Linked DNA regions of Tamandua tetradactyla. The protein of the gene in region 1 interacts with the protein of each later gene in a biochemical or structural test. Links are inferred from orthologs where the notes say so. Each region holds a gene or a part of one and is shown on either strand. Other genes may lie near its edges. The genes, in order: KLHL20 and DAPK1.

The links.
Region 2: the proteins of KLHL20 (region 1) and DAPK1 are reported together in a solved structure, tested with the Homo sapiens proteins (2 studies listed by BioGRID and IntAct, with this or other methods). The link is inferred for Tamandua tetradactyla from reciprocal best matches to the Homo sapiens genes KLHL20 and DAPK1.

The regions. Positions count from the first base shown.
Region 1 is NC_135330.1:27,516,457-27,531,593, forward strand, and holds the start of KLHL20 (kelch-like protein 20), read left to right. Parts: upstream 1-7,137; 5' UTR 7,138-7,277; intron 7,278-8,292; 5' UTR 8,293-8,333; coding exon 8,334-8,356; intron 8,357-15,137. UniProt on the Homo sapiens protein: Substrate-specific adapter of a BCR (BTB-CUL3-RBX1) E3 ubiquitin-protein ligase complex involved in interferon response and anterograde Golgi to endosome transport.
Region 2 is NC_135328.1:120,792,504-120,808,007, forward strand, and holds the start of DAPK1 (death-associated protein kinase 1), read left to right. Parts: upstream 1-7,756; 5' UTR 7,757-7,896; intron 7,897-10,014; 5' UTR 10,015-10,216; intron 10,217-10,779; exon of another isoform or gene 10,780-11,034; intron 11,035-11,269; exon of another isoform or gene 11,270-11,421; intron 11,422-11,452; exon of another isoform or gene 11,453-11,567; intron 11,568-11,628; exon of another isoform or gene 11,629-11,759; intron 11,760-11,915; 5' UTR 11,916-12,023; coding exon 12,024-12,085; intron 12,086-15,504. UniProt on the Homo sapiens protein: Calcium/calmodulin-dependent serine/threonine kinase involved in multiple cellular signaling pathways that trigger cell survival, apoptosis, and autophagy.

The DNA.
Region 1 (15,137 bases):
TAAACAACAGATTTTCATTGTAGATGAAACAGCCTTCTGTTGGAAGAGAATGCCATCTAGGACTTTCATAGCTAGAAGAAGAGAAGATAATGCCTGCCTTCAAAGCTTCAAAGGACAAGGTGACTCTCTCATTAGGGGTTAATGCAACTGTTTAAGTTGAATCCAGTGCTCATTTATCTCTCCAAAAATCTTAGGGACCTTAAGAATTATACTAAACCCATACTGCCTATGTTCTATAAATGGAACAACAAAGCCTGGGTGTCAACACAACTGTTTACAACATCATTTACTATTTTAATCCCACTGCTGAGACCTCCTGCTCAGAAAAAAGATTCTTTTCAAAATTTTATTACTGCTCAATGACAATGCACCTAGTCACCCAAGAGCACTAATGGAAATATACAGAGAGATATTGTTTGTATACCTGCTAGCATGACATCCATCCTGCAGCCCATGGATCAAGGAATAATTTTGATTTTCAAGTCTTATTATTTAAGAAATATGTTTCATGAAGTTATAGGTGCCATAGATAGTGATTCCTCTGATGGATTTAGACAAAGTCAATTGAAAACCTTCTGGAGATGATTCACCATTCATTAAAAATATTTGTGATTTATGGAAAGAAGTCAAAATATCAACGTTAACAGGGGTTTGAACAAAGTTGATTCCAACCCTCATGGATGATTTTGAGGGTTTCAAAACTTCAGTGGAGGAAGTAAGTGCAAATCTGGTGGAAAAAGCAGGAGAACTAGAATTTGAAGTGGAGCTTAAAGATGTGACTGAATTGCTGCAATCTCATTATAAAACTTGAATGGATGAGGAGTTGCTTCTTATCGAGGAGCAAAGAAAGTAGTTTCTTGGGATGGAAGCTACTCCTATGAAAACCACTGCACATTGTTGAAATGACAACAAAGTATTTAGAATGTTGTATGAACTTAGTTGATAAAGCAGTGGCATGGTTTGAGAGAATAGTCTAATTTTGAAAGAAGTTATACGGTGGGTAAAATGCTACAAAATAGCAATGCATGCTACAGAGAAATCCTTTGTAAAGGAAAAGTCAATCAAACTTCATTGTTAGGTATTTTAAGACACCCAACCTTCAGCAACCACCACCCTGATCAATCAGCAGCCATCAGTATTGAGGCAAGACCCTCCACCAGCAAAAAGATTATGACTCAACTCTCTGAAGGTTCAGATGGTGGTTAGCATGTTTTAGCAACAAAATATTTTTAAATTAAGATATGTACATTTAAAAAAAAACATAACGCTGCTTCACATGTAATAAACTACAGTACAGTATAAACATAATTTATATATGCCCTGGGAAATCAAAAAATTCATGTGACTTACTTTATGCTATATTTGCTTTATTGTGGTGGTCTGGAACCAAGCCCTCAAAACCTCCAAGGTATGCCTCTGTTGACTGATTTTCTTATGTTAAACTGTCCTTGCATTCCTGGGATAAATTTTACTTGGTCACAGTGTATAATAATTTTAATGTGCTGCTGAATTTGATTGCTAGTATGTTGTTGAGGAATTTATATTTATATTCATAAAGGATATTGGTTTGTAATTTTCTTTTCTTGTAGAGTCTTTAGCTGGCTTCACGATCAGAGTAATGCTGACCTCATAGAATGAATTAGGGAATGTTTCCTCCTCTTCAATTTTTTGGAAGAGTTTGAACAAGGTTTTGTGTTAATTCTTCTTGGAATATTTAGTAGAATTCACCACTGAAGCCATCTCATCATGGGAGTATAATAATACTGGTGTTTATTTGGAATATAATACTGATTTTCAGATTTACCTATATAGCTACCCTTAATAGTGTTCTATATTTCTTCATATTACTTCAAGTTACTGTCTATTGTCCTTTAATTTCAGCCTGAAGAATTCCTCTAGTATTTTGTGTAGAGCAGATCTGCTAGTAACAAACTCCCTTAGCTTTTGTTTGTATGGTAATGTCTTGATTTCTCCTTCATTCTTGAAGAATAGTTTTCAGATGTAGAACTCTTGGTTAGCAGTTTTCTTTTTTTCTTTCAGCACTTTAAATGTTAGCCCATTGCCTTCTGGCCTCCATAGTTTCTAATTAGAAATCAGCTCTTAATCTTATTGAGGCTACCTTCATATGATATGTCATTCTTCTCTTGCTGCTTTCAAGATTCTCTCTTTGTCTTTGTCTTTCAACAATTTGACCATAATGTGTCTCCATACAAATCTCTTTGAGTTTATATTGCTTGGAGTTCATTGGGTACCTTGGATATATAGATTCATATATTTAATAAAATTTAGATAGCTTTTAGTCATTATTCTCCAAATATCCTTTCTACCCCTTGCTCTCTTCTCCTTCTGGGACACCCATAATGCATATATTGACTCACTTGGTGGTGTACTTCTAGTCTTTCAGTCTCTGTTCACTTTTCTTCATTCTTTTTCCTTTCTTCTCCTCAGACTGGATAAGTTCAATTGTTCTGTCTCAAAATTTGCAGATTATTTCTTGTGACTTCACAAATCTGCTGTTGGACCACCCTAGTGAAAGTTTCATCTCAATTACTGTACCTTTCAGCTCCAGAATTCCTATTTGGTTCCTTTTTATAATTTCTCTCTATTCTCATTTTATTCATTTATCATTTCCTGATTTTCTTTAGTTTATCTATAGTTTCCTTTAGCTTTTTGAGCAAATCTACCTGCAGGACAAGTTTTAAGATGGTGTGTCTTTCAGGCTGCTACCAGACAGGTAGGGACTAACATATATGTTCCTATTATGTACACAAGGGTTACTCTGTTTCCTCCAAAACTGGGACCAGGGACCCACATTATGAGTGCAGGCCGGCTCTGCACCAAACTAGTAAGGGGTGGGGGGAGGACCAACCAGGGCACATGAGATCCTACCACTTTTAAGAGGGATTTTCTTGATTTAGTACTGACCCTGTTAACACAATCCTTTAACTGCTTTTGGAGCTTTTAAAAACATATTTTGCCACTTCTTGTTCAAATTTCTTTTGAGCAAGAAGTGTGGGAAAGAGCCCTGAAATTTTCACTCTGCCATCTTGATTGGTCAGGACCTCCCACTAGTTACATTTTTAAGCACCTATTACGTGCTGGGCACATCTTTAATATTTTATGTGTATTTGTGGCACTTACTCTTCATAATCGGGAGATAACAAATCATCATTAACTATCTTTTTTTGACCAGGACAAGATTTGACCTGACTAGGTATCATTTGGGACACATCTTTTTTGTATTTTGAATATATTTTTTATACCATTTAATGGCTCCAATTGTCAGAAATTTGAGCACACCATAGAAACTAAAGAGGTGTAGTTCAGAAATAGATTCTTCGGTGACTATTGTGGTTTTGTTGCTGAAGCTTTTTTACAGTTTTGGCAATGATATGGTTTCTCTTTCATATTGATCCTCTTATATGGACATAACTTATGTAAACTTTCTTTTCCATGTGAATTACCTAGTTCTTATGGAGATCCAAGTTCTGCATAAGGCCTTTGTTTTAAGGTTTGCATTTAAAGAGATTTTGAAAGTTCTCTACTGGCTGTCAAATAGAGATATATAAGAGAAACTTTTCTCACACGCCCTATGTTGGTAGGGTTGTAGTTCCATATCTGCATTATTTTGACCAATAAGATGCCGATGGTGCACTATGAAAAAATTGGAATTAACACTTGTCTTAGGAATTCTCCTCCACATTCATGTATAGGACAGTATACATGTGTGACTCCTCCTTTGACCCTTGATGAAATCTAACTCTTCAGAATAAGTAAATTCTCTAAATCTAAGATACTCAGGATTATATGAATACCTGAGGCTCTAATCCAGATTATACGCAGATGTCTCATGACACCATGAAAAACTAAGATCTGTAGTAATCATCAACAAAGAATTTATCACTACTACACTGAATCTGCAGTTTTAAGAATCCAGTATCTGACTGAAACTCGTCTAATGGGTTTGCTATGTTCTTCCTCAATAATATGCTCACAGCATGTTTAGAAGTCCCATTCTTGTCTACTAGCCTTCTAGTAGAAGATGTGAATTTCTTCATATCTGAGAACATCTCTAAAGTCTTAATTAAATTAACCTGGAAAACCTCCAGATTTATAGGCCTTCAACTTCTGGTTAAGTTGTAAACCCAATGATAGGTTTAAATGGTACCCATTTTTATATGATTCATGTTGATTTAATTTTAGATGGCCTTTTTCCACAAAATAATCCCATTTTATGAAATAGCTGTGTTATTCATTTTCTAATGGCCTATTTATCACATGGCTGGAATGGTAGTAGAATGCAGGGGACAGATTTGAGAAACAGATTAAGGTATCAACAGGAGGAGCCTTCTCTGAAGAAAGTCTGCCAGCATCTGGGACACCTTTGTCACAGGGAAGTTACATGGCTGGAATCTGCTGGTCCTTCCCTCTTGGGTTTCATTGCTTTCAGCTCCGGCCTACAGTAGTTCTCTCAGCTTCTACAGGTGTTTTGTCTCTCAGCTTCTCCAGGGCTTTTCTCTCTAAGATCTCTGGGCTTTTCCTGTCTTTTTTCCACTCACAAAGGGCTTCAGTAAAAGGATCAAGATCCACCTTGAATGGGGTGGGTCACATCTCAGTTGTGGTCCCACCTACAATAGGTCTGCACACACAGGAATGAACTAGAAGAATATGGTCTTTTCTGAGGTAAATAACAGCTTCAAACCATCACAGGTGTGAAATGGCATCTCATTTTGGTTTTGATATGCATACTGTTGTTGGCTAATAATGTTGAGTATCTTTTCATGAGCTTTCTTTCCATTTGCATATTTTCTTTAAAGAGGATATGTGGTTTCCAAATATTTTCTCCCATTTTGTGAAGATTCTTTTTTAGCTTTTTAACAGCTGTTGTATGTAGCAATGTTGACTTTCAGAACTGCAGAACTCCAACTCTGAGTCTTAGGCGTCACACAAGAACCCAATTTTCCAGGGAAATACTGGGTTATAGATTTATAGAACAGCACCTCAGAATCTAGAATACTTACAACTCCAGACTAAATGTGGCAGCTTTAAGAGCTTACCCCAATTTTTTATAAATATTTTTTTTGTGTTCATCCACTCAGAGCAGAGCCCGCAGCGATCCAAAGTTGTTTCTCAAATGTCATGATCAGTGATTAGCCATGCCCAACCCTGGTCTTAGGGAAATGATTTTTATGTCTCTTTCTGTTACCAGTGACTTAACCAGGGATTGGACCACTTGGTGTCCTCCCACGAGTGTGAAGGATGGGCACCTTTAGGTGCCACACAGAGATAGCAATTTACTTTTCTTTATCATCATTTACCAACCTTTTCCCTCCCACTGTCCTGGATGCTGTATAGTGTTCTTTTACTCTCTGGAGTTTCAGAATAGTTGTTTCATACTGCTCATGCCTTGTTCATAGCTGTTCTGGTAGAAGGACTTAGTCCTGGAACTACCTACTTCACCATCTGTCTACAATCCCAACTCACTTTTGAATATTAATTCATTATTTCACATAAGTAGTTCAGCAACAGGGAACTTTCTGGGCAAGGAAATATGGGTAGTTCAAAAATGACACGTAAGGATCCACATTCTTTCAGCCTCTCTGTTCTACCATTGTTACTGTCTAGCTTCATTCTCCTCTGTTTTACCTCATGGTTGCAAAATGGTTACAGCAGTTCCAAGTATGACATCCAGACAGAACAATGGCCAGGGAAAAAAAAGAGGCTCTCTCTCCTTGTGTCTCTTTCTCAAAAGCCAGGAATCCTTACCCTGCAGTTTCCATTATATTTCCCCTCATTTCTGGTTGGTCAATATTAGGTCATTTGTATGAAGATGTGATTAACAAGATTGGTTTAGACCAAATATTCATAATAGAAAAGTTGTTGTGAAGTCAATCACCATAACCACATAAATGTTCACTAGCATGTTAGCTCTCTGAAAGGAAGCTACTGTTCTCAGTAGTCCACTACTGTATCCCCAAATCCTAGCACAGTACCTGGCAAACAACATATGCTCAATTAATTAATGATCCCATCTAAACATCTAAATAAATAGAATAGGAGAGGTGAAAACTGACATTTGTTGAGTGTCTACTAAATAGACTTACAACGTGATATTCATTTTAATTTACTTCCCACAAATTCATTAAGAAGATATTACTTCCCTTCTATGTAAAAGGAAACTATGCTTAAGAGATTAAGAAGTTTGTCCAAGATCACAAAATTAATCAGACACAGGACTGGACTTTGAACCCATTGATCTAAAGACTATATATTTGCACCGCAAGCTAATTAACAAGAGGTAATCTTATGCTTTCAGAAACAATTGGACAAATCTATGTTGATACCATTTGAAGAACAGCTGAAAAATATCTGCTTATGTTAATGTTTAGCCTAAGATAGGTATCAGGAAACGAAGAAGAGCCTTTCACCAAGAAGCTTGAAACCATAACCCCACAGTTGTATCATTTGTTACATAGTAAACAAATGATACAACTGTTTTACTAAATACATAGTAAAGCAGATGTCTGTGTGCTATCTGAAAATCTGGGGGCAATGAGCAAATTGAAAAAGGATTTTCCCCTTAAAATCAAAGTGACTCCACAGAAGTGTTTGTTGAAGTGACAGATAAATACTAATTGAAAGGTCAATCCAGCATGGCCTTAAGAGTCCTGATAAAATCCTGGTGTCTAGAAAGCTGGATTGTGTGAATGCTGGAACACTGGGTCTGTTTCTGATTTTTCCGTGTATCCTCAGCATCTTGCACATAGTAGGGCCCCAATAGATACATGCAAATCCCACGTTTAGGGTCAAGATTGTGCCAGTAGGAAACCTGCCAGCTACGAATAAAAATTCCTACTATTTCATTACTACTCCAATCTTCCAATTGCCTTCTTCTGGGGAAAACAAGACAGGACGAAACATCAGTATCCAAAATCTGACAGGCGGTGAACTCGCAAAATGGACAAGTTCAACATACAAGGAAGTGAATACGAGGACAGGCAGTCTGACGTTATCCAAATCCCCAGCAAAAGGCGCGACTACATCTGGAGTCACACCAGAACCTCTTGGCTGAATGTGTGTGTTCCGGAGGGGAACGCTTTAGGAGTAGGAACACTTCCTGCTCCTGCGCAGGGGCGGGGGAGGAACTAGCTCTGAGGAGCGGCATCCTGTCTGCACAAGCGCTGGCAGAGTGGGAGGCAGAAAGGCTGCGTGAGGAGGAGGTAGAGAAGGTTGCAGCAGAGGAGGCTGCGGCAGAAGAGAAGAGTTTATCAGAGCCGGTAAGTGAGCCGCCTTAGAGTAGAATACGATGTACAGCACCAAGAGGCTCGCTTTGCAAATCTGCAGTCCTAAGTTACCAGGCTGCCGGGTAGGGTCGGGGCCGTGCCTTGTCCATCGCCTGTCAGTCGGCGCCGAGGAGGAACTGTGGGGAGGCTGGGCCTTGCGGGGCATCAGACTGCGCTCTCGCGGGCTGTCAGCCCTCACCCTAAGCCGAGGGGTGCCCTGGGATTCCTCCCTAATTATTCTCCTACAACGGTGGTTGGAAACCCGGGGAAGGAAAGGGCTGTTGGGCGTCCCATTTAACCCCTGGGACCTGGAGATTCTGCCAAGTGGATGGTGGGCGTTATTTCGGGGACGGAGGAAAGGGCTTGTAAAGATATTATCTATGACCGAAGCCACACTTTCCTTGTGCTGTTAAGCTAACCGGACAATCGGGAGGGAGTTGTTTGTTTGTTTTTTAAATGTCTCCTCCCACTCCTGTCACTTCTGGACAAGTTAACAGCCTTCAGATCCCTTGTTAAACAAACGTGCCCCCTACTCGATCTCTCACGGTGCAACTGCTGAGGATATCCGGTGAATGCTTTGTAGATGCACTTGATGGCGAGGTCACGGTTAAATGTTTCCACGCACTTTTTTTTTTTTAATTTTATTGACAGATCTTCACATACATACAGTCCATACATGGTGTACAGTCAGTGGCTCACAATATCATCGTGTAGTTGTGTGTTCATCACCATGTCCAAGCACTTTTTGAAGAGAGACAAGACTAACTTTGCTATCGGGACTATTTCTTCCGTCACCTTCACATGCAATCATTTTAGCATTCAGAGTAAGGATATAGAATTGTCTTAAAGTTTCTGGATTCAGTTATGATTTTACGTCCATAAAAGGCCTGAGGTATAAAGGAGATAAAATTCTTTATCATCGAATGAAATGAATGAAACTTTTATATATAGTTTTTTTACTGAAAAGGTCAGAAATAGTTTTTAAGTTACTGCTTTTCTATTGTCTTAGGTTCGGCTTTAGAGTGTGCTGAAGGGTACTTTTCATGGTGCATGGAAGGAAAGCCAATGCGCAGGTAGGCATTTAGGAAGAAAACCTTCTGTTTCACTATTGGAATTCAGCAGGTAATAATTCAGACTTCATTTTAAAAAAATGACTTTCAGCTCTCATTAAATTCTGCTTGAAACTAATGGCTCTTGTTCTAAAATAAATCAAAAGTAGTATCAGGAATTAATATCTTTTTAATAGAGTATAATCTGAAGCTGAAAAAGTGCTTTGACTTTTATGTAATTTTTAACATTAAGTTTTCCTTTCTGCGTGGGTTTTTTTTTGTCATAAAGAATCATTAACTGTACTAATGCTTTATAGGTTTATAATAGTCTTCCACTCCCTATAGAATGTAGAGAATTCTGTTGCTATATAAGAATAATAATTACTTGTAATACACTGTGCTGCATGTCTGATTATGGTTTTGGTTATTTCTTTGGTGTTCTATAATACATTTGTTCTGTTAATTGAAATAACTGCATTGCAGGGCAGATTGTTCAAGGACTGAAAAATGTATTGAACATGAAATTTAGTCCATAGGAAAATAGAATATGTGGGAACATATAGACAATTATAGGCCCATCCCAACCTAGAATTTAGTGATACTTTTTCTCCCTCTGTTCTAGCAGGTGATACTAAAATCCTTATTGAAATGAATTCAATCCAGTTCTATGTTTTCCTTTCAAACCCTACAATCATAAAGCAAAGTTTCACTTCTTAAACTCATTTCATTTTTATTGTAATGTTACTTGTTATTTGACATTAAAGATAAACAGCTGTGGGAGACTTTTGTAAGAGAAGTAACTGATGGGAGAATGATTTGTAGCTTAGAACCAGGAGCGAAAACCAGAATGTACATCTCTTTCCAAATCTGTTACTGATTTATTGATTGGCCTTGAACTGTTCACCTTTTTTGTGCCCTAGTTTACTTTTCTGGTTTATCTTACCAGGATATTTGTAATTAATGAATGCTTGAAAATGCTTTGAAATGGCCAGGTGGAAAGATGTTATGGGTATGACAGATGCCATTATCTTACTTCTGTCTTCCTCTTTAATAAGAGTAATATTTGACAGCAAATTACATGAAGAAATTAACAACTCATATTAAATGTTTCATCCCTTTAACGTTTAACATGATCGCAAAACCCACTAATTGCTACTACTCATCCTCAGTTGCCATAAATGTCATACCTTATGTAATTGCTAAAATGATAATTTACTGTCTTTTTAAAAGGGAATATTTTTGGTTTGTCAGTAATTTCTATGTGAAAGGTTTGTTTAATCACTCGTCTATTCTTTTTCTCCTTGCTTGATTACATAATACTCCTGATTATTCAGAATTCTATGGGAGAATTCTTGTGCCATTAATCATTAAGTTACAGGTCTTTCTTCATCATCTTTTCACTTGACCGGAGCCTGGCCTCCCATTGCTCTCTAATTTGCTTTTACCTGTTGTCACAACTCCCTTCCCTTTCCTTGTTGAGCTGTCATTCTCTTAGTGCTGCAGCCAGAGGAAGTCTCTGCAAAGTAATGTTGGGTTTATACTCAGTTGCTGTTTAAGAAGTTTTAAATGAGAAGTAACTCATTTTCCATAGAAATTCTCCCTACTGGACTGTGAGCTCTTTGAATCCCATATGTCTTCTGTATCTTTGCATCTCTAGCACCTTACCACTGAATAATTTTTTTAATAACTAAACAATTGATCTACAGGCTTTTTTTCCCCTGGGCGGGGGGTGAGGGGAACTGTGGACAAAAAGAGATAAAAGCTTCATTACATTCATTTATTTATTTAAACAACTATTATTGCATGTACGTGATACAGAATTTAAAAGATATATTGGCACAGGAAGACCTTTGTACGTGGGAAACTACTGTAATGATTCTTCTCTTGCTTATTCTAGAAATAGGTTGTGGGCATCTAGAAAAGGGCAGTGGTAATTATTATTAATAATAATAAAGGCAATGGTGAATAAAATGAGAATTTTATTGGTGTTAGAACGGCCCATATGAGAAAGCAATTACCCTGGTTTTGACAGTCCTATGGAAACTGCTCCCTACCTATCTGAGCTCATGATAATTTCTCTGTAGCATATAGGAACCGACTGGGGAATGGAAAGTTGGTTGTAACTGATTAAATTGATTTTACAAACCACTAATTGGTTTGTACCTAGAAGTTTGAAAAATACTGTATTGTGTCCCGTTAATTGCCAGCCCTATATATGTACATAGCTTCCAATCAGATCTCTAATGCCTTACTCTTACTTATGAGTGGATAACCAAAAGATCTCATGACATTTTTAAAAATTTAATGAATACTCACAAAGAAGCTCAGCACAATTCACGATGTAAAAGAAGACATTTTAAAAATGTATTCCCAGAGAAATAAAAGATATAATACCCCCCCAAAGAAGTATATTGGAATATTCCATGAAAAATAAGTTTCCAAATGCTGACTCCAATCCCCAGCTCTCTCCAGAGGCAACCACTGAAGAGTTTCTTATGCGTTCTTTAAGAGGCATTGTCATATGTATACAAGCATATATGGACTATCTTCCCTTTTTAAGAAACACTAGTGGGCGGGCCACGGTGGCTCAGCAGGCAAGAATGCTTGCCTGCGATGCCAGAGGACCCGGGTTCGATTCCCGGTGCCTGCCCATGTAAAAAAAAAAAAGAACACTAGTGTCAGCATATCATGCATATTTTTTTTCACTTCATGATTTTATCTTGTAGATTGTGACAAATATATATAGACTGCCTTATTCTTTTTAATATTTATATATTGTTCCATTGTTGTAGATACCATATGTAATCTGTCCCTTTTGACAGACATTTAAGTTATTTGAAATGTTTTGCTGTTATAAACAGTTCCACAACAGATATCTTTGTAGGCAGTTATTTGCCCAAATGTGTAAGTATAGAATAAATTCTTAAATGCAGAATTGCCCAAAGAGTGCATTTTTAACGTGATACTAACAAATTTCCCTCCTTAGAGGTTGTGCCAATCTACAGTCTCATGACTATATCTGTTTTGCAAGATATTATTTTTTAGTTGTTTCATTTAGAGATGCTAAAATATTTTGAATTATAATTCCTCCATCTTTCCTTAAAAATATAAATAAGAAACAAGTATTTTATTTTATTAGACTGTTTATTCATTCACCAAACATTTTTATAGCACTGTGCTCTATGCCTGAGACTATACTAAATATATTACCTGTGAAGTGATGGAAACAGACATGTAAACAAACACTATAATACAAGATGAAAAGGATTTTAATAGAAATGTAAATACCAATGACGGAGCTTCTGCTCTGTGGAGATAAGGAAAGCTTCACAGAGATGGTGATGTTTAAGCTGGGTCTTCCATAAAAAATAAAATTTACTTCTAAAGTGGGGAATTGATTAAGGACACCATAAGCAGAGAGAACTACTTGTGGAAAAAAAAAAAAAAAAAAAGGACCCCAAGGATTGCATGACACATGGAATGGAGAGTTTATCTGGTGTATATGGTATATGGAAGGAAAAAGGGGAAGCAGGAAAAAAAATTAAGAAGCGGGGGAAATAAGTCAAGGAAAATAAGGCTGGAACCATAGGGAAGAGTTTGAACTTTTTATCCTTTAGGTATTCTAGTTTGCTAGCTGCCGGGATGCAATATACCAGAATCAGAATGGCTTTTAAAAAGGGGAATTTAATAAGTTGCTAGTTTACAGTTCTAAGGCTGAGAAAATGTCCAATTAAAACAAACCTATAGAAATGTCCAATCAAAGGCATCCAGGGAAAGATACCTTGGTTTAAGAAGGCCAATGATAGTCAGGGTTTCTCTCTCATCTGGAAAGGCACATGGCGAACACAGTCAGTTTCTCTCTCGACTGGAAAGGCACATGGCGAGCAAGGCATCATCTGCTACTTTCTCTCCTGGCTTCCTGTTTCATGAAGCTCCCTGAGAGGCGTTTTCCTTCTCCATCTCCAAAGGTAATTGGAATATGGATTTGGGCCAGAAGAGAACATTGGGCTGGGAATGAAAAGTTTGTGAGTCATCAGTACACAGAAAAGTCTTAAAGCTGTAGGTATGAATCAGGGTAGGCTAGAGAAGAATACCAAGGACAGAACCTTAGGGAGTACCAGAAATGTTTAAGGTGCGACCTAAGAGGAAGACTCAGTGAAGATTCTAAAATGGGTTAAAAGTTTAGGTGCTAATAAAAAAAGTTAAAAAAAAAAAAAAGTTTAGGTGCTTTGAACCTTGGTTTATTTAATTGTATGTAGAGTTTTTATAGATAGTTTTTCAATGACAGTGAAGATCAGATGAGCTGTTCCCTGAGTTCAACTTCAAAAGAAAAAGCTTCCAAAAAACACCAGATCTCCTATCACTCGGATTACCTTTTTATTCTAGTCAGTCTAAAATGTATGCTTAAAAAGAAATAGTGTTAAATATACCTGCTTGATTTGGCTTTTCCCTGGTGCAGTATTCACTGTAGGTTGGTTCACTCAGACCCTTCATCCTTTCTTCCCTCTACCATAGACAGTACAAAATTAAATATGTACTTGATTTCTTAGTCTTCCTTGTAATTTCAGGATGGCCATCTGACATATTCTCCCAAGGAAATGTCAGCAGAATTTGGTGAGGAGTATTATAGGAAGGGTTTTGCTTGCCTGGTGTAAAGGGAGGCAGGCTTGCTTGCACGGCTGTTTGTCCTTCATCTCGCCTTGATTCCTGGGTCAAGGCATTCAATACTGACTCTCATTTTATCTAATAAGCAGTGGTTAGATGTCTTGAAACTGAAACAGTTGCAACTTGTTTTCAGGCTATACACGGGATATGAGCCTGATTTTCTGGTATGGAATCAGACATGGAATGTAGTGCCTACTGGTTGCCTTCCTAGTAAATAGAACTGGCATTCTATTTTAATATTAAGCTAGTATTTCTGTTTTGAGGATGCTCAAATCTCTAACTTTCTCTATTCAGAGATGTTTACAGCTATTAATGAGAGTAATACAATTAGGTCTTTTTTTAAGAGCAAAATGTTGATTTCTAAATTAAAACAAAATTTTTGAAGTATGAAAAGAGAGATGTTCATTTAGATAGGGAGCAAAATTCCAGAGAAAGGAAAGATTCTACATGTAAGTTTCTATATTCAAGGTTGTTAGTAAATTTGGAATATATTTCTAATTTTACCATTTCACATTTGAACTATATTTTTGCTAACAAAATGTTTTGGGCTGAAAGTAACCCCAAATCAAACTGGCTTAATCAATATGGAAATCTTTTCTTTACATGACAGAAAACCCATACTTAGGGTGGGCTCCAGGGTTGATTGATTCGGTGACTATATAATATCATCTTGAACCCAGGTTCTTTCTGCCTCTCCATGTAACCTTGCAGTGTCAGCTTCATCCTAACCTAAAATTGATCTCTCCACCACAACCAGTACTACGTTCTTCCTTGTTGTTGCCCAACAGAAGAAATTCTCCCTCAGTCATGGAATATAAGTTTGGTCCATCAGTTTGATGATGAGTTTAGGTAAGGGAATGCCACCAACTAATTGATTTAAGAGAAATTAAGATCCATTCTTAAACCTAGGTGCTTGGGCAATTTCCCCTGGAGCACATGATGTGGTGGAGGAACAGAATCAGGGTATGTTAAAGTTGGAGATAGTTGGTGGTAAAATATGCTATTAGTATAATTTATCTTGAAGTTATGCTTTAATTTAAAATTTATTTAAGTTAAAATTTAAGTTAAAAAATTAAAAATCTGCTAAAGTTATCATTAGCAGAACTTATACCCTTTGATTTTAGAAATATTAATCCTTTCCCAGAATTGACAGAGTTATTTTATGGGAGAAGGCAAAACTCTGTTGGATCTCCCTAGTTTATTAACTGCAAATAAAGTCTAGCATAATCCTTTCATTTGCCTCCTTCAACCTTAAAATACATGTTATTTACCTTGCAAATTGAGTTAATAAAAATATAATTTATTTCAATTTCTGCTTTTTGTAAATTTGTAGTGTCATTAAGACAGCTTGGGAATAGAAATCCACAGACTGAAGAAGAAAATAATTGGAGATACCCTAACTCCTATAGATGAATTTTTACTTGGACAATAAAGTTTGCTCCCTCAGGCCTTTAATTAAAAACTTTTGTAGAATTCTCCTCTGTCATTGGGAGCATTGGGATTCAGTTTCTCCAAGTTCACAACTAAAATTAATTTTCTGTGGCCCCTAGAGAAGAGAACACAACTGATAGTCCATTGTTTAGTTCATGAATATGTTTTGTTTGGCTACATAGTGTTTAAAAATTACTGTGAATTAGTTTAAAATTTGAGAAATCAGATTTTTAGCCTTTCTTGAAAAGTTAAAAACTCTTGACACTCCCCCATGGAGCTAAATAGCAGCTACCCTCTTGTAAATATAGGCTCTAGTTAGCCCTACACACCCACTTCATTCATTTACCTTCTGTGTCTGGTCCTGGGGGCATCTGAGACTGAATCCCTCTGCTCTATAAACTTTAAATTAGCAGAAGTAAAAAATAAATACAGGGCGGGCCACAGTGGCTCAGTAGGCAGAGTTCTCATCTGCCATGCTGGAGACCTGAGTTCAATTCCTGGTGCCTGCCCATGCAAAAAAAATAAAATAAATAAATAAATATAGTCTTCTGTTGGCATCTTATACTTTTTTGAAATGCTTATCTATTAACCTGCAGTTCATGCTTCAATTCATCACCTTTTCCCTAAAACTTGCAGGTGTTTATTCCATGAGATTCCAAACAAAAAAAAAAAACTGAATGTAGATTATGGCAAAGTGAATACAATCTAT
Region 2 (15,504 bases), on another chromosome or scaffold:
TGCACAGTCTGTATCCCTTCAGCTCCAATTACCCATTATCTTACCCTGTTTCTAACTCCTGCTGAACTCTGTTACCAATGATATATTCCAAGTTTATTCTCGAATGTCGGTTCACATCAGTGGGACCATACAGTATTTGTCCTTTAGTTTTTGGCTAGACTCACTCAGCATAATGTTCTCTAGGTCCATCCATGTTATTACATGCTTCATAAGTTTATTTTGTCTTAAAGCTGCATAATATTCTATCATATGTATATACCACAGTTTGTTTAGCCACTCGTCTGTTGATGGACATTTTGGCTGTTTCCATCTCTTTGCAATTGTAAATACTGCTGCTATAATCACTGGTGTGCAAATGTCCGTTTGTGTCTTTGCCCTTAAGTCCTTTGAGTAGATACCTAGCAATGGTATTGCTGGGTCGTATGGCAATTCTATATTCAGTTTTTTGAGGAACCGCCAAACTGCCTTCCACAGTGGTTGCACCATTTGACATTCCCACCAACAGTGGATAAGTGTGCCTCTTTCTCCGCATCCTCTCCAGCACTTGTCATTTTCTGTTTTGTTGATAATGGCCATTCTGGTGGGTGTGAGATGATATCTCATTGTGGTTTTGATTTGCATTTCTCTAATGGCCAGGGACATTGGGCATCTCTTCATGTGCCTTTTGGCCATTTGTATTTCCTCTTCTGAGAGGTGTCTGTTCAAGTCTTTTTCCCATTTTGTAATTGGGTTGGCTGTCTTTTTGTTGTTGAGTTGGACAATCTCTTTATAAATTCTGGATACTAGACATTTATCTGATATGTCATTTCCAAATATTGTCTCCCATTGTGTAGGCTGTCTTTCTACTTTCTTGATGAAGTTCTTTGATGCACAAAAGTGTTTAATTTTGAGGAGCTCCCATTTATTTATTTCTTTCTTCAGTGCTCTTGCTTTAGGTTTAAGGTCCATAAAACCGCCTCCAATTGTAAGTTACATAAGATATCTCCCTACATTTTCCTCTAACTGTTTTATGGTCGTAGACCTAATGTTTAGATCTTTGATCCATTTTGAGTTAACTTTTGTATAGGGTGTGAGATACGGGTCTTCTTTCATTCTTTTGCATATGGATATCCAGTTCTCTAGGCATCATTCATTGAAGAGACTGTTCTGTCCCAGGTGAGTTGACTTGACTGCCTTATCAAAGATCAAATGTCCATAGATGAGAGGGTCTATATCTGAGCACTCTATTCGATTCCATTGGTCGATATATCTATCTTTATGCCAATACCATGCTGTTTTGACCACTGTGGCTTCATAATATGCCTTAAAGTCCGGCAGCGTGAGACCTCCAGCTTCGTTTTTTTCCCTCAAGATACTTTTAGCAATTCAGGACGCCCTGCCCTTCCAGATTAATTTGCTTATTGGTTTTTCTGTTTCTGAAAAATAAGTTGTTGGGATTTTGATTGGTATTGCATTGAATCTGTAAATCAATTAAGGTAGGATTGACATCTTAACTGTATTTAATCTTCCAATCCATGAACATGGTATGCCCTTCCATCTATTTACGTCTTCTATGATTTCTTTTAACAGTTTTTTGTAGTTTTCTTTATATAGGTTTTTTTGTCTGTTTAGTTAAATTTATTCCTAGGTATTTTATTCTTTTAGTTGCAATTGTAAATGGGATTCGTTTCTTGATTTCCCCCTCCGCTTGTTCATTACTAGTGTATAGAAATGCTACAGATTTTTGAATGTTGATCTTGCAACCTGCTACTTTGCTGTACTCATTTATTAGCTGTACTAGTTTTGTTGTGGATTTTTTCCAGGTTTTCAACGTATAGTATCATATCGTCTGCAAACAGTGATAGTTTTACTTCTTCCTTTCCAATTTTGATGCCTTGTATTTCTTTTTCTTGTCTAATTGCTCTGGCTAGAACCTCCAACACAATGTTGAATAATAGTGGTGATAATGGACATCCTTGTCTTGTTCCTGATCTTAGGGGGAAAGTTTTCAATTTTTCCCCATTGAAGATGATATTAGCTGTGGGTTTTTCATATATTCCCTCTATCATTTTAAGGAAGTTCCCTTGTATTCCTATCTTTTGAAGTGTTTTCAACAGGAAAGGATGTTAAATCTTGTCAAATGCCTTCTCTGCATCAATTGAGATGATCATGTGATTTTTCTGCTTTGATTTGTTGATGTGGTGTATTACATTAATTGATTTTCTTATGTTGAACCATCCTTGCATACCTGGGATGAATCCTACTTGGTCATGATGTATAACTCTTTTAATGTGTTGTTGGATTCGATTTGCTAGAATTTTGTTGAGGATTTTTGCATCTATATTCATTAGAGAGATTGGTCTGTAGTTTTCTTTTTTTGTAATATCTTTGCCTGGTCTTGGTATGAGGGTGATGTTGGCTTCCTAGAATGAATTAGGTAGCTTTCCCTCTGCTTCAATTTTTTTGAAGAGTTTAAGCAGAGTTGGTACTAATTCTTTCTGGAATGTTTGATAGAATTCACATGTGAAGCCGTCTGGTCCTGGACTTTTCTTTTTAGGAAGCTTTTGAATGACTGATTCAATTTCTTTACTTGTGATTGGTTTGTTGAGGTCATCTATTTCTTCTTGAGTCAAAGTTGGTTGTTCATGTCTTTCCAGGAACCCGTCCATTTCCTCTAAATTGTTGTATTTATTAGCGTAAAGTTGTTATTAGTGTAAAGTACCCTGTTATTACCTCCTTTATTTCTGTGAGGTCAGTAGTTATGTCTCCTCTTCCATTTCTGATCTTATTTATTTGCATCCCCTCTCTTCTTCTTTTTGTCAATCTTGCTAAGGGCCCATCAATCTTATTGATTTTCTCATAGAACCAACTTCTGGTCTTATTGATTTTCTCTATTGTTTTCATGTTTTCAATTTCATTTATTTCTGCTCTAATCTTTGTTATTTCTTTCCTTTTGCTTGCTTTGGGATTAGTTTGCTGTTCTTTCTCCAGTTCTTCCAAGTGGACAGTTAATTCCTGCATTTTTGCCTTTTCTTCTTTTCTGATAAAGGCATTTAGGGCAATAAATTTCCCTCTTAGCACTGCCTTTGCTGCGTCCCATAAGTTTTGATATGTTGTGTTTTCATTTTCATTCACCTCTAGGTATTTACTAATTTCTGTTGCAATTTCTTCTTTGACCCACTTGTTGTTTAAGAGTGTGTTGTTGAGCCTCCATGTATTTGTGAATTTTCTGGCACTCCGCCTATTATTGATTTCCAACTTCATTCCTTTATGATCCGAGAAAGTGTTGCATATGATTTCAATCTTTTTAAATTTTTTAAGACTTGCTTTGTGACCCAGTATATGGTCTATCTTTGAGAATGATCAATGAGCACTTGAGAAAAAGGTGTATCCTGCTGTTGTGGGATGTAATGTCCTATAAATGTCTGTTAAGTCTAGCTCATTTATAGTAATATTCAGATTCTCTATTTCTTTATTGATCCTCTGTCTAGATGTTCTGTCCATTGATGAGAGTGGTGAATTGAAGTCTCCAGCTATTATGGTATATGTGTCTATTTCCCTTTTCAGTGTTTGCAGTGTATTCCTCACGTATTTTGGGGCATTCTGGTTCGGTGCGCAAATATTTATGATTGTTATGTCTTCTTGTTTAATTGTTCCTTTTATTAGTATATAGTGTCCTTCTTTGTCTCTTTTAACTGTTTTACATTTGAAGTCTAACTTGTTGGATATTAGTATAGCCATTCCTGCTCTTTTCTGGTTGTTATTTGCATGAAATATCTTTTCCCAACCTTTCACTTTCAACGTATATATATCTTTGGGTCTAAGATGTGTTTCCTGTAGACAGCATATAGAAGGATCCTGTTTTTTAATCCATTCTGCCAGTCTATGTCTTTTGATTGGGGAATTCGGTCCATTAACATTTAGAGTTATTACTGTTTGGATAATATTTTCCTCTACCATTTTGCCTTTTGTATTATATATATCATATCTGACTTTCCTTCTTTCTACACTCTTCTCCATGCCTCTCTCTTCTGTCTTTTTGTATCTGACTCTAGTGCTCCCTTTAGTATTTCTTGCAGAGCTGGTCTCTTGGTCACAAATTCTCTCTGTGACTTTTTGTCTGAGAATGTTTTAATTTCTCCCTCATTTTTGAAGGACAATTTTGCTGGATATAGGAGTCTTGGTTGGCAGTTTTTCTCTTTTAGTAACTTAAATATATCATCCCACTGTCTTCTAGCTTCCATGGTTTCTGCTGAGAAATCTACACATAGTCTTATTGGGTTTCCCTTGTATGTGATGGATTGCTCCTCTCTCACTGCTTTCAAGATCCTCTCTTTCTCTTTGACCTCTGACATTCTAACTAGTAAGTGTCTTGGGGAACGCCTATTTGGGTCTAATCTCTTTGGGGAGCACTGCACTTCTTGAATCTGTAATTTTAGGTCTTTCATAAGAGTTGGGAAATTTTCAGTGATAATTTCTTCCATTAGTTTTTCTCCTCCTTTTCCCTTCTCTTCTCCTTCTGGGACACCCACAACATGTATATTTGTGCGATTCACATTGTCCTTGAGTTCCCTGATACCCTGTTCAAATTTTTCCATTCTTTTCCCAATAGTTTCTGTTTCTTTTTGCAGTTCAGATGTTCCATCCTCCAAATCACTAATTCTATCTTCTGTCTCTTTAAATCTATCATTGTAGGTATCCATTGTTTTTTTCCATCTTTTCTACTTTATCCTTCACTTCCATAAGCTCTGTGATTTGTTTTTTCAGTTTTTCTATTTCTTTTTGATCAGCCCATGTCTTCTTCATGTCCTCCCTCAATTTATCAATTTCGTTTTTGAAGAGGTTTTCCATTTCTGTTCGTATATTCAACATTAGTTGTTTCAGCTCCTGTATCTCATTTGAACTATTGGTTTGTTCCTTTGACTGGGCCATATTTTCAATTTTCTGAGCGTGATCCGTTATCTTCTGCTGGCGTCTGGGCATTTAGTCAGATTTCCCTGGGTGTTGGACCCCACAGGTTGAAAGATTTTTCTGTGAATCTCTGGGTTCTGTTTTTCTTATCCTGCCCAGTAGGTGGCGCTCGTGGCACACGTTTGTCTACGGGTTCCACCAGTAAAAGGTGCTGTGGGTCCTTTAACTCTGGAAAACTCTCACCGTAGGGGAGGTTCAGCAGCCGAAGCGTCTTGGAAGAGTGCCAGCCGGCCCGGGGGTCCGAACGCGGGGACGGTCGCTGGCCACTGCAGCACGGGAGAGCGCCCGACCGAATTTCCTTGTCTGCCCGGGGCGCCAAGCGTGGCGGGAGGCCGCCAGCCGTCGCAGCCCGGGAGAGTGCACTGTTCCCAGCTGGACCGGGGAGTCACGTGTTTGGAAGAGACCCCCCAGTCACCGTTCTCCGCAGTCTGGGGATTTCTGACCCAACTCTCTCAGTTGGTCCGGGGGGCCTCGCGTGGTGGGGGCGTCAGCCGCCGCGGCCCAAGGGGACCGCCTGCCCAATTCTGCCAGTTGGCCTGGGAAGGAGGAAGGGAGGGACTCCGGCCGCTTGGCGTCCCACCCAGGAAAGCCCGCGCCCCTCGGTGATCTCACCGGAGCTGGTTCTCCCAGATAGTCAGCCGTTCCAGGATGGGGTACGCCGTCCCTTTGATCTCCATCATGGCTCCGGGAGCTGCTCTGTATTGTCTCCACTCCCCTAGTAACTGTTCTGGAGGAGGAAAGGTGAGGGTGGCAAGGCTGTTGAGGCCGGTGGCGGAGGAGCCGGTGAAGGCGGAAGAGGGCACGGTGGTGGTTGGAGAGCAGCCGGAGCAGGAGGGGGAACCGGCAGACAAAGTGGGGAGAGAGGAGGGCCTTACCCTTCTTCTTTTTGGTCTTGGGTCTTAGCCTTAGGGGATTTCACATACTCCCAGGTCTGTAGCTCCCATGGTGTACACCAGACTTACCCCTCTATAACACACGTGCCCATCTCCACCTCAACATCTTCTAGATGCCCCAAAGCACCTCAAATCTCATGTCTTTAAGACTGACCTCACCTTCCTCCAAACCTCTTGTCCTCCTGTATTTCAGCTATAGGCAGCAATATCTGCCTTTTACTCAACCAAAACTGTGGGAGTCATCCTGACTCTGTCCTTTCCTCAGATACCAAGCCCTCTGATGCCTTTCCTCTTTAAAGCATTTCATTGCTTTTCTCTATCCATCTTCTCCAGGGATCTGCCAAATTATCCTTAATCAACCCTGGGCATCAGTGTCTCCAGAAAGAAGACCCCCATCTGCTGGGCACAATGGACAAGACTATCAATAGTGGAGAGTAGAGAAGTTAATAAGACTTTGGTTAATCTCTCCACTCTTAGCCAAATCCTGGACAAGGTGGGAAAGATCTTTCACCTTTCTTAACCTCTTGCCATTTCACTGCCTGGGCTCTAATTATTTATTGATGCCTATGTGAACCATTGTCTTTCGCATACCCAGGATTTTAACCTGGCTGTTTTTTCTGCCTAAATGCCAACTTCTCCAACTCCTACTGCTTTACAATTCACTACCCCATTGTCCATCATTTTATTCTGCTAACTCTTGATTGTCTTTCAAATTTTGGGCTAGGATGTCAGCTCCTCTAGAAATCTCCCTGAAACTCCACTCTCACCCCTACCTTCCATCTCCCATCTCTGGCCCTTACCCGAATTAAGTATCCTCTTTGGGTGCTTCCACAGCACTCTGGCATTCCTCTCTCATTAGGGTATAAGTCAGGATCCTACAGGAAAGAGGAGGCACACTCAAATTAGGATGGTTCATCCTAATGGAAGAATGTATGGAAGCCATAAGGGAATGAACTGGAACCCCAGGTTAGTAATACTAGAGTTGGCACCAACCTTAGGCCCAAAGAGACAGGAGGGTGGTTACCAAAGTTTGGAAAGAAAAATCATGTACAAAAGTCATCTTGCAAGGAATAGTGACCTTTGTTTGACATTGACCAAGGCAACCCTGCAGGGAGGAAAGCAGGGAAATAGCTAGCTTGATCTTACTCCCCTCCCTTCGACTTGACTTCATGCTGTGGCTCCCTATTGGCCAAACCTACCAGAAGCCAGAGGACAAGGGAATGAGTTAAAATTATCTTACAGGTCAGCATATAAATTGTCCATTTACTCATTGATTTCCCTAATTAGATTGGGTTTTCTGAGAAGAGAATGGTTTTTTTTTTTTTTCCAAATCTCTGCCTCCCTAGCATATAACATATACTAGGTATTCAATAATGGCCTGTTGATTGTATTGACTGAATAGTAAATGTAGTGAGTTGGGTGTTTCTTGAGTCTGTGCTTTCTGAGCTTGCCACTGTGATTTTTGGAATCCAGGGCAAAATGGGGAACAGAATGTCCTATATCATTTTCATTGTCTGATAGAAGGAAACATTATTTGGTCAGGAGAGACAAATGTGGGAGGAATCAGAAGCAGCCACATGACAGGCTACCTAAGAGGCACTCAACTGCATAATGGACTGTTGCTTCAGCAGTGAAACCACAGGTGCAGGAATATTCTTCAAGGACCACTTAAAAATATTAGCCCTTGATAAAAGCCTAAGGTATGTTTTAAAAAGTAACTTAGAAGCTAACATGGTCCACATTGGTTGCACTTAGATGATCTTGAAAAAAGAATGGTTAATCCTTAAACTTCAGGCTGTGTCCCTCTCCCTCAAATAACCTGAGGATTATTTTATTTTTGTTTTTTTATTTGTCCTTGAAAAAACGCTCTAAGTGCAATCCTTCCTGTATTTTCTCTTCTTTCCCCCCCTCAGCCACCAGATGAAAAGAATCCAACTGGGAACTACAGATGCCCTGGGGGACAATAGATCCAGCAAGTAGTTGTGCCCCTGAATGACTGCATGGAGCAGAGAGCAGACCCCCCTTCCCACCCCCAGCAAACATCTGTGCTGAGGTACTGAAATAAACCTGTAATATGCTAAGCTTCTGAGATTTGGGAGGTTGGTAGCAGCTAGTTACTTAACCCTGACTGATATAACTGTAAGATTATTTTTGAAAATCTGCACTTGAGTCTGTTTCAAATGCTATCACCATGATTATCATAATCCATAATCCATATCATAATCACATTTTATGTAGGAACTTTCCACCTTGAATCTCATAACTTGAGGATTATTTTATTTTTGGTTTTTTGTTTGAGAGATGTGCCCCAGAACCTTTTTTTGCTGGAATATGATAGAAAATATAATAATACCCAGTATTCTGATGTATTTTACAATGAACAAAGCACTGTCTTATGTATTATCTATTTAGTTTCTCCCAACAAGTTGGAGGAATATACAGGAGAAGGATTATTGCCCCCATTCTGCAGGTGATGAAACTGAGACTAAGAGGTTTAAGGCTTAAATGGAAATGACAACTAATTTACAGGGTTATTTGAAGATCAGTTGGGAGAATTAGTCTGCCTGGCACCCAATTTGTGTTGAGAGTTAAGTTTCCTGTTTCAGTTATCTATTGCTGTGTAGGAAACCACCCAAAACAATGGCTTAAAACAAAACAATAATTTATTTTATTTACAGAACATGGACTGTGAAAATGCAAATAACTGGGAGTGTGGGGGAGGGGACACGAATAGCTGGGGGGTTCCTCTTTTTCTCTGTAGTTTCTTCACATGGTGCCCCAGGGAAACAGTAGTTCTTGGCAGCTGAAGGAGACAGACAGTGGAGACAGATTCAGAGAGGGAGAGAGAGACTTCTAACACCTGATGACCTAGTCTTGTGTCACTTCCACCACATTTTCAAGCTGCTAAGTCCAGGCCATATTCATGGGAAGGGGAATTAGACTACTTCTGTTTCCAGGAGTGTCAAATTATTTGCAGACAAGTTTTTAAACTACCACATTTCCCCTCTCCAAAATGCTTGCCTAAATAAGTGCAGATACAAAGCTCAGGGGTAAGTGACTCATCCAAAGTCATTTAGCTGTTCATTGGTTTCATGAGACTAGAACCAATTTTTGTAGCTCCAAATTCCATGCTCTTTTTCTCTACCTTAGAATATCTCCCGTGATTGCACTCTCTAATAGGGCAGGTAAGATACACTGCACCCTGAAACAAGCACCCAAACTCATACAATCCTTTTGATTGCCAGGCAAAACACACATATTTCTTTTGCAAGAAAAATATTACCCATAAAGCCATCATGTGTAAGCACTTCCCAAATTTCTCCCAAACATCTGTGTTTTTTATTTTTTCCCCAACAGATGTATTCATTTGCATTTTTCCCAGATGAATCACTTATTTTGTTATTTTTTGACTGCATTTCTCACCTCTCAAGATCCTTTTGTGTTAATCCTCAAACCCACCGCTTAGGTTAATACCAGCTCCCAATTTGGACCCTTCCCCCAATTCCATTATTAGGCTCAATCTCAGGCCACTCCTGAGGGCCTTCAAATGAAATATTCCTTAAGTAATCTTCAAGACTACTGACCTAAGGCCTGAGAGCATTCTTTAGTTTTGTTGGTTTTAAAGCAGCCCAAATCTCCACAGTTCAAAATTTCTGTTAAACCGAAGAGATTTTAAACGAACCCATTTTAGAAAACCTGGGAATTTGAACATTATATGGATCTGAATTCTCAGAGGGGTTATCGTATGAGTTTTTGTATTTATTGGATATAAAATAAATTTCTTTTTAGGAACTTTCCTCTATTTGGGGATCCCCTAGATGTCCCTGACAGAAATATCCTTTCTGCTTTCCCCGCCCATAGGCTTGGTGGGAGACTGGGATAAGAAGTACAGAAGAAAATGGATAACTGGTCTCCAGTGGTTATGGGATCCCTGTGCAGATTAGAATAACCCAAAAGAAATAAGATACAAGTCACATATATACAATTAAATTTTCTGGTAGCCACCTTTTTAAAAAATACAAAGGAACAAATGAATAGATTTAAATAACGATTTTATTTAACCCAATATTATCATTTCAACAAGAAATCAATTTTAAAAATTTAACGAGATATTTCGCAGTCTAATTTCCATATTGCATCTTTGAAATTGAAGCTTATTTTGCACTTTCAGCACATCTCAACGGAGACTAACCACATTGCAACTGGTCAATAGCCAATATCATATTGGGCCACACTAGAAGACCCTTCAGTTCCTGCTGTTTCGCTGGGCCTCTGGGACCCCAATCCTTTCTTCTTTGATTGCACATCTTCTTACTGTTCAGAACTTAACTCAAAAACACTGTCCTGGAGAAGACCCTGCCTAATGATCTAAGGTATTCTCCAAACCCCTCACCCCTTCACTGTCATTCTCTGTCCGGTTAACCTTGATTTCATGGAATTTGTCTTTTCTCAAGTGATCTTATTTGCTTGCATATTTATTGTTTATCGTCTCCGTGAATAGAAGTTTCACGAGGGCAGAAATTTTATTATTATTATTTTTATTTTTAACTATTTTATTCTCAGAGATTTCGCTGTTCCGAACACCGTGCCTGACACACAGGGCTCTCAGGACACTTTTGCTGAACCACCGAATCTCATTTTTCTAGAACTTAGCCGGAGGGGGCAACTCCGCCGCGGGTCACAGGTGGGACGCCCGCTCCCCCTCCCCGGCGTGCGTGTGGGGTGAGTGGGTGTGCGCGGGGGTGTACGCGGTAGAGCGCGCCAGCGAGCCGGGAGCGCGGAGCTGGGTGTAGCAGCCAGCGCCGCGCAGAACCAGCAGCGCCCGCCGGGCCAGGCAGCTCGGAGGTGGGTGGGCCGCGCGCCGCCAGCCCGCCCGCGGGGTCCCCATTGGCCGCCTGCCGGCCGCCCTCCACCCGGGAGGTGGCCAGGAGCCGAAGCCTCTCCGGACCCCGAGCGGGAAAGCCCGGCCGAGGCGACGCCAGGGACATTGTTCCCGCCGCGGAGGGGGCACGGCGACCCTCGCAGCTGCCGGGATCTGGAGCCAGCGCCCGTGCGGACGCGCGGGGTCCGCTGCCTCCGACTCGGTTCCTCCCTCGGCTCTCGTCGCCACCCTGCTGGTCTCCGGCGCTGGCGCCTATGGTCGGCCTCCGACAGCGCTCCGGAGGGACCCCAGGAGCTCCCGGGCGCCCGGGTGAGTGGCCGCGCGCGACTCCCCGGGCTCCTCCCCGGCCCCAACGCCTGCTTTTGCCATCGCGATCGCCGCGCGGCGGGGCTTTCCAGGGCAGCGCCTCTGCAAGGGGAAGGCCAGGGCGGGGTAAACTTGGCTGCGGGGAGAAGTGGGATCGCCGACGGGAGGCGCTCCAACCTGGCGGCCCGGGTCGGAACAGGTGGCGCGGGGCCGGGCCGGGCGCTTTGTGTCCCGGCGAGGGGACTGGAGCGGGCGGCGGCGCCTCCCTCGGCGGCTCTCTTCCCTCCCTTGCTCCCCCGGGCGGCCGCACGCCGGGTCGGCCGGGTAACGGAGAGGGAGTCGCCAGGAATGTGCCTCCGGGGACTGCCTGGCTCGTGAGGAGGGAAGGAGGTAAAGGGGGAGGGGTGGCCGGAGAGGTGCGGGAGCCCAGAGGTGGCGCGGGGGCTGCCACAGCCGCTGCGGGCTGGAGAAGGATGCTTCTAACGAGGCGCATGCCGCCCGGGCGAGGGCTTCCTTCTTCCGCGGCGCCCCTGGAGGTGGGGAGCTGGGTGGGCGTGTGTGCAGAGAAAGGGGGAGGCGGGGAAGCCAGTCCCTTCCGGAGCCGGTTCTGATCCTTGCCGCCCGTCCGCTTTCGAGGATGCGGACCTTGGGGTGCGGTTGTGCCGGGCCCTACGCGCGCGCGGGCGACGCAGGGCTGGGGGGCGCCCCTGACTCGGGTTTAACAAAGGGTGCGCCTCTTCACTAGGCGGGGAGGGGTAGCTTGGTGTCTCCTGCACACCCCCAGCTGGAGACGTGGCCTTCAGCGAGCGAGTCCTAGCCCTGGGAATGTCTACTTCCTTTTTTGGGTTGATATTTTATTATTCTTGCCTTTTTTTTTTTTAAAGGCCTGGAGACTGATGCATGAGGGCCCTACGGAGGCGCAGGAGCGGTGGTGATGGTTTGGGAAGTGGAGCTGAAGTGCGCCGGACTTTGGTGAGGCGTGACAGTTTATCATGACCGTGTTCAGGCAGGAAAACGTGGATGATTACTACGACACCGGCGAGGAACTTGGCAGGTACGAGGGGTGTCAGAAGCGAACACAACTGGATTGTGAGAGTGCATAATATTGGGGGCGGTACACAAATCCAGTTTGCATCAGGCATCTCCCTCGCGCTTCCAGGAGATGGGCAAATTATATAGAGAAGAGTTGCTAACCCAGCGAGGACCTGGGGCTAGAAATAAACCACCTCATCCTAAAAATGTGGGGTAGGGGCGAGGCAATTCAGGGCTAGATTATGATGCAAAGTCTGTTATTGATCAGAACCCTGGGACCAGAGCAGATTAATCGTCTGCAGGAACTCTTCTCAGTTTTTTACCCTTCTGAGACAATGAGGCAAAAGCTAAGATTATAATTGCCACTGTAGGTAGTGACTGGTTATATGTGATTTAAAGAGAGTGCACACGAATTAGTAGAATTTTAAAATCTCCATGCATCTCTTCTCTGAGTTGACACAGTGACAAGAACAAGTATTGGTAGGCTGTAAATGGACACTTGCCAGATGCTGAAGTTGGCTTTGGGTTTTGAAACTTCTTCAATCCAGGAATTTAATTATCTGTTGGTGTTAGTGGTTGGATTGGCTTCGTTTACAATATTAAAATTTTAACAAATCAGAGTCTAATATGGCTTTCTGGATTCTGCGCCTGTTGGATTGCTGTAGAAGCTGTGATTCTGGCTGTTTAAGTCTTTCAGTTTGTAGGTGAACAAAGAATGATTTATTTGAGGGGTGTCCTTTTGCATTTGTTGTCTTGAAGTTGAGGATCAGATCAGAAGATTTATAAGAACTGAGTCATGTTTCACCGAGTTCCCCTCTGGGTCTTTCAAAGATTGTTGAGTTCCAGTCTACTTTAGCAGAAAAGCCAATTTTCATACCTACATTTAAAATCCAAAATATGGAATTTGTGATACATTTGCCAGAAGTTTGTGTGCTTACTTATGCATGTACAGAAATAATTATTTTTCCATACACATCTGATGTCCCGATACAAAGTTTCCTTTTTTCTTCATGAGAAGGAAATTAAAAAACTTCCACATCTTAGATTACCCGAGAAATATTAAAATTGAGCTTAATTCAATTAAAAAATAAATTCAAATCACAGGGCAACGTGAAAGCAATTTTTAAAAAGTTATTATAGCAGTATTTCTGCGTATGTTTAGTATTGACTCAAAACATGGGGACTCAGTGAGTAAATGAGTAAGAAGGAAAATCATATTTCATGGGTATGTTTAGGTTTGAAGTTGAAGGGTATGTGGTTAAAATACTTGGCTTAACTAGAAGTGAATCACTTTATTCTGGTGGTTTTTAGCAAGAAGACTGATATATGGAGTTTTCCTTGAGGAAAAAAGTGAAAAAAACATTCTAATTCAGTTTGTATTCTGTGGCCCGATTATATGAGATCTATTGTTAAAAGAGATGATTAAACAACTAATCGTGGTGCTATGCTTTGAAATTTGTAGCTTTTTTGTACAAATGTTATTGTTCATGAAAAAAGAAGGAAAAAAAGTCGATTGTGATAAAAAGTATTTAAGTCCTCTAGCTTCCTATAGGAGCAGCTAGAAGGAAAAATATGAGAGGATCGTATGGTAGCCCATGACAAACTCTGGGATCTGTCCTTTAACCACTTTTTGAAGAGTGCTTTGAAAACTATTGCTTTTTTATTTCTTTGCTTTGTATATATGTTATACGATACAATAAAAAAGCTAAAAAAAGATTATTAAAATTAGGTGAGATGATTGCTTTATGAGTATAGTATATTGACTTGTTTTCGTTAAGGTCTTTTGGTAAAGTTATTTGTCATGAGGAAGAAAAATAAAGAGGCCTCTTTTTTATTTTGTGGCGGGTGAGGGGAGTTTGTGCTCCTTATTTCGTGGGCGTGATGACAAACCCTCGCCTCTGCTAAGAGGTTGTTTGCTCATTTGTCACTAGCATTTCACTTTGATTTTGGCTCTGTATACATTTCAGTGTGCAACTTTCTCCCCACTGTGCAAGACTAATTGACAAATTGTTTACTGAATAATATTGTTTATGTAAACTATGAATCTGAAAGAAGTGCTTTGAAAAACTGGGAGTTGGAGATTTTTTCAAAATAAAGTACACATATTCAAATGCCTGACAAAGCTATCATTTTTACCTTAAAAAGGGGTGAATGGTTGGTTTTTAGGAGGTTTTTCAAGTCCTGTGATTTTTATGTCTGCCTTGGAAATAGCCACGTGCTGAAAACAAATTCTGTCTCAAGATGCGCATATTAGAAAGATGCTGGTTTTATGAGTTTTTGGGTCACTGGGAAGAGGTATGGAAGTAGGAGTTTAGTGGCAGAGAAACAGAAATGAGCAGATATTTAGGACAAATGCGAAACCATTCTAAGCAGTGAGAGATAGAGACCAACATCTAGGATTTAAGACTTGTCCTACATATCTTTGGCAGTCATATAAATAATAGCTGCTCACTTAAAATATATACTGAGACAAAATCTATGGCTGGAGGAAGTTTTAAAGAAGTAGAATACAGTGTTGTTATTTTATTTTTAGAAAAACTGATAGAGAGTATGTATATGTGAGTGTGTGTTTATGTGTGTGTTTGTGTGCACTGTCCAGGACTGCTACGAAAGTTCACTGTCAACTGTGAAGAACTTTATAAAGTATTAAGATTATAATACAGCAGTGACAGTCAGATGAATCACTGGACAGATATCATGATCCAAAATCCAGCTTTGAAATTTGCTAGCATCATAACCTGTTCATTTACTCTCTGACCCTCAGTATCTTCATCTAAAAATTGTTTCATGGTTATTATGGGAATCAAATGAGCTCAGTTATAAGAAAGTATTTTTTTTTTTTTGCATGGGCAGACACCAGGAATCAAACCCGGGTCTCCAGCATGGCAGGTGAGAATTCTACCACTGAGCCACCATCGCACTATTCTAAAAAAGTATTTTATTAGATATTATCTATATATAGATAGTATCTGCAGGGCTGGCTGAGACATGTGGGTGTTTTAGGTAGGCTGATAACTTAGCCTGTGGCTCAAGATTCTTTAAATATCTGTTCATCAGTTTGGGAGAGGGGAAACCCTGTGGAGAAAGGGTTGTGAGAGAGTCCTGCAACCTTTGTTCTGGGTAATTCAGCTCTGGCTTAAACCTGTACACCCTTCCAAGCGAAAACAAGTCTCAGCCATAAACAGGACCTGCTCTCTTTAAAAGAAGACTGGTGACTTTCTATTTTGACTCCAGTAGGCCTGTTAAAGTCTCAGAAGGTTGGACGGAGATCACATAGAGTAGTCTCTGAGAGAAGTTCTTATAAACACAGTTTTCTCCTTCTGCTATTGTATTTGAGTCATTTTAGTGCCCTAGGATGCTTTAGCATCTCGTTATCAATTGATGCTCTGGGCAGCTGCAGGCTGACTTGTCCCACTATGGGTTCTGATTGCATCCCTGGGT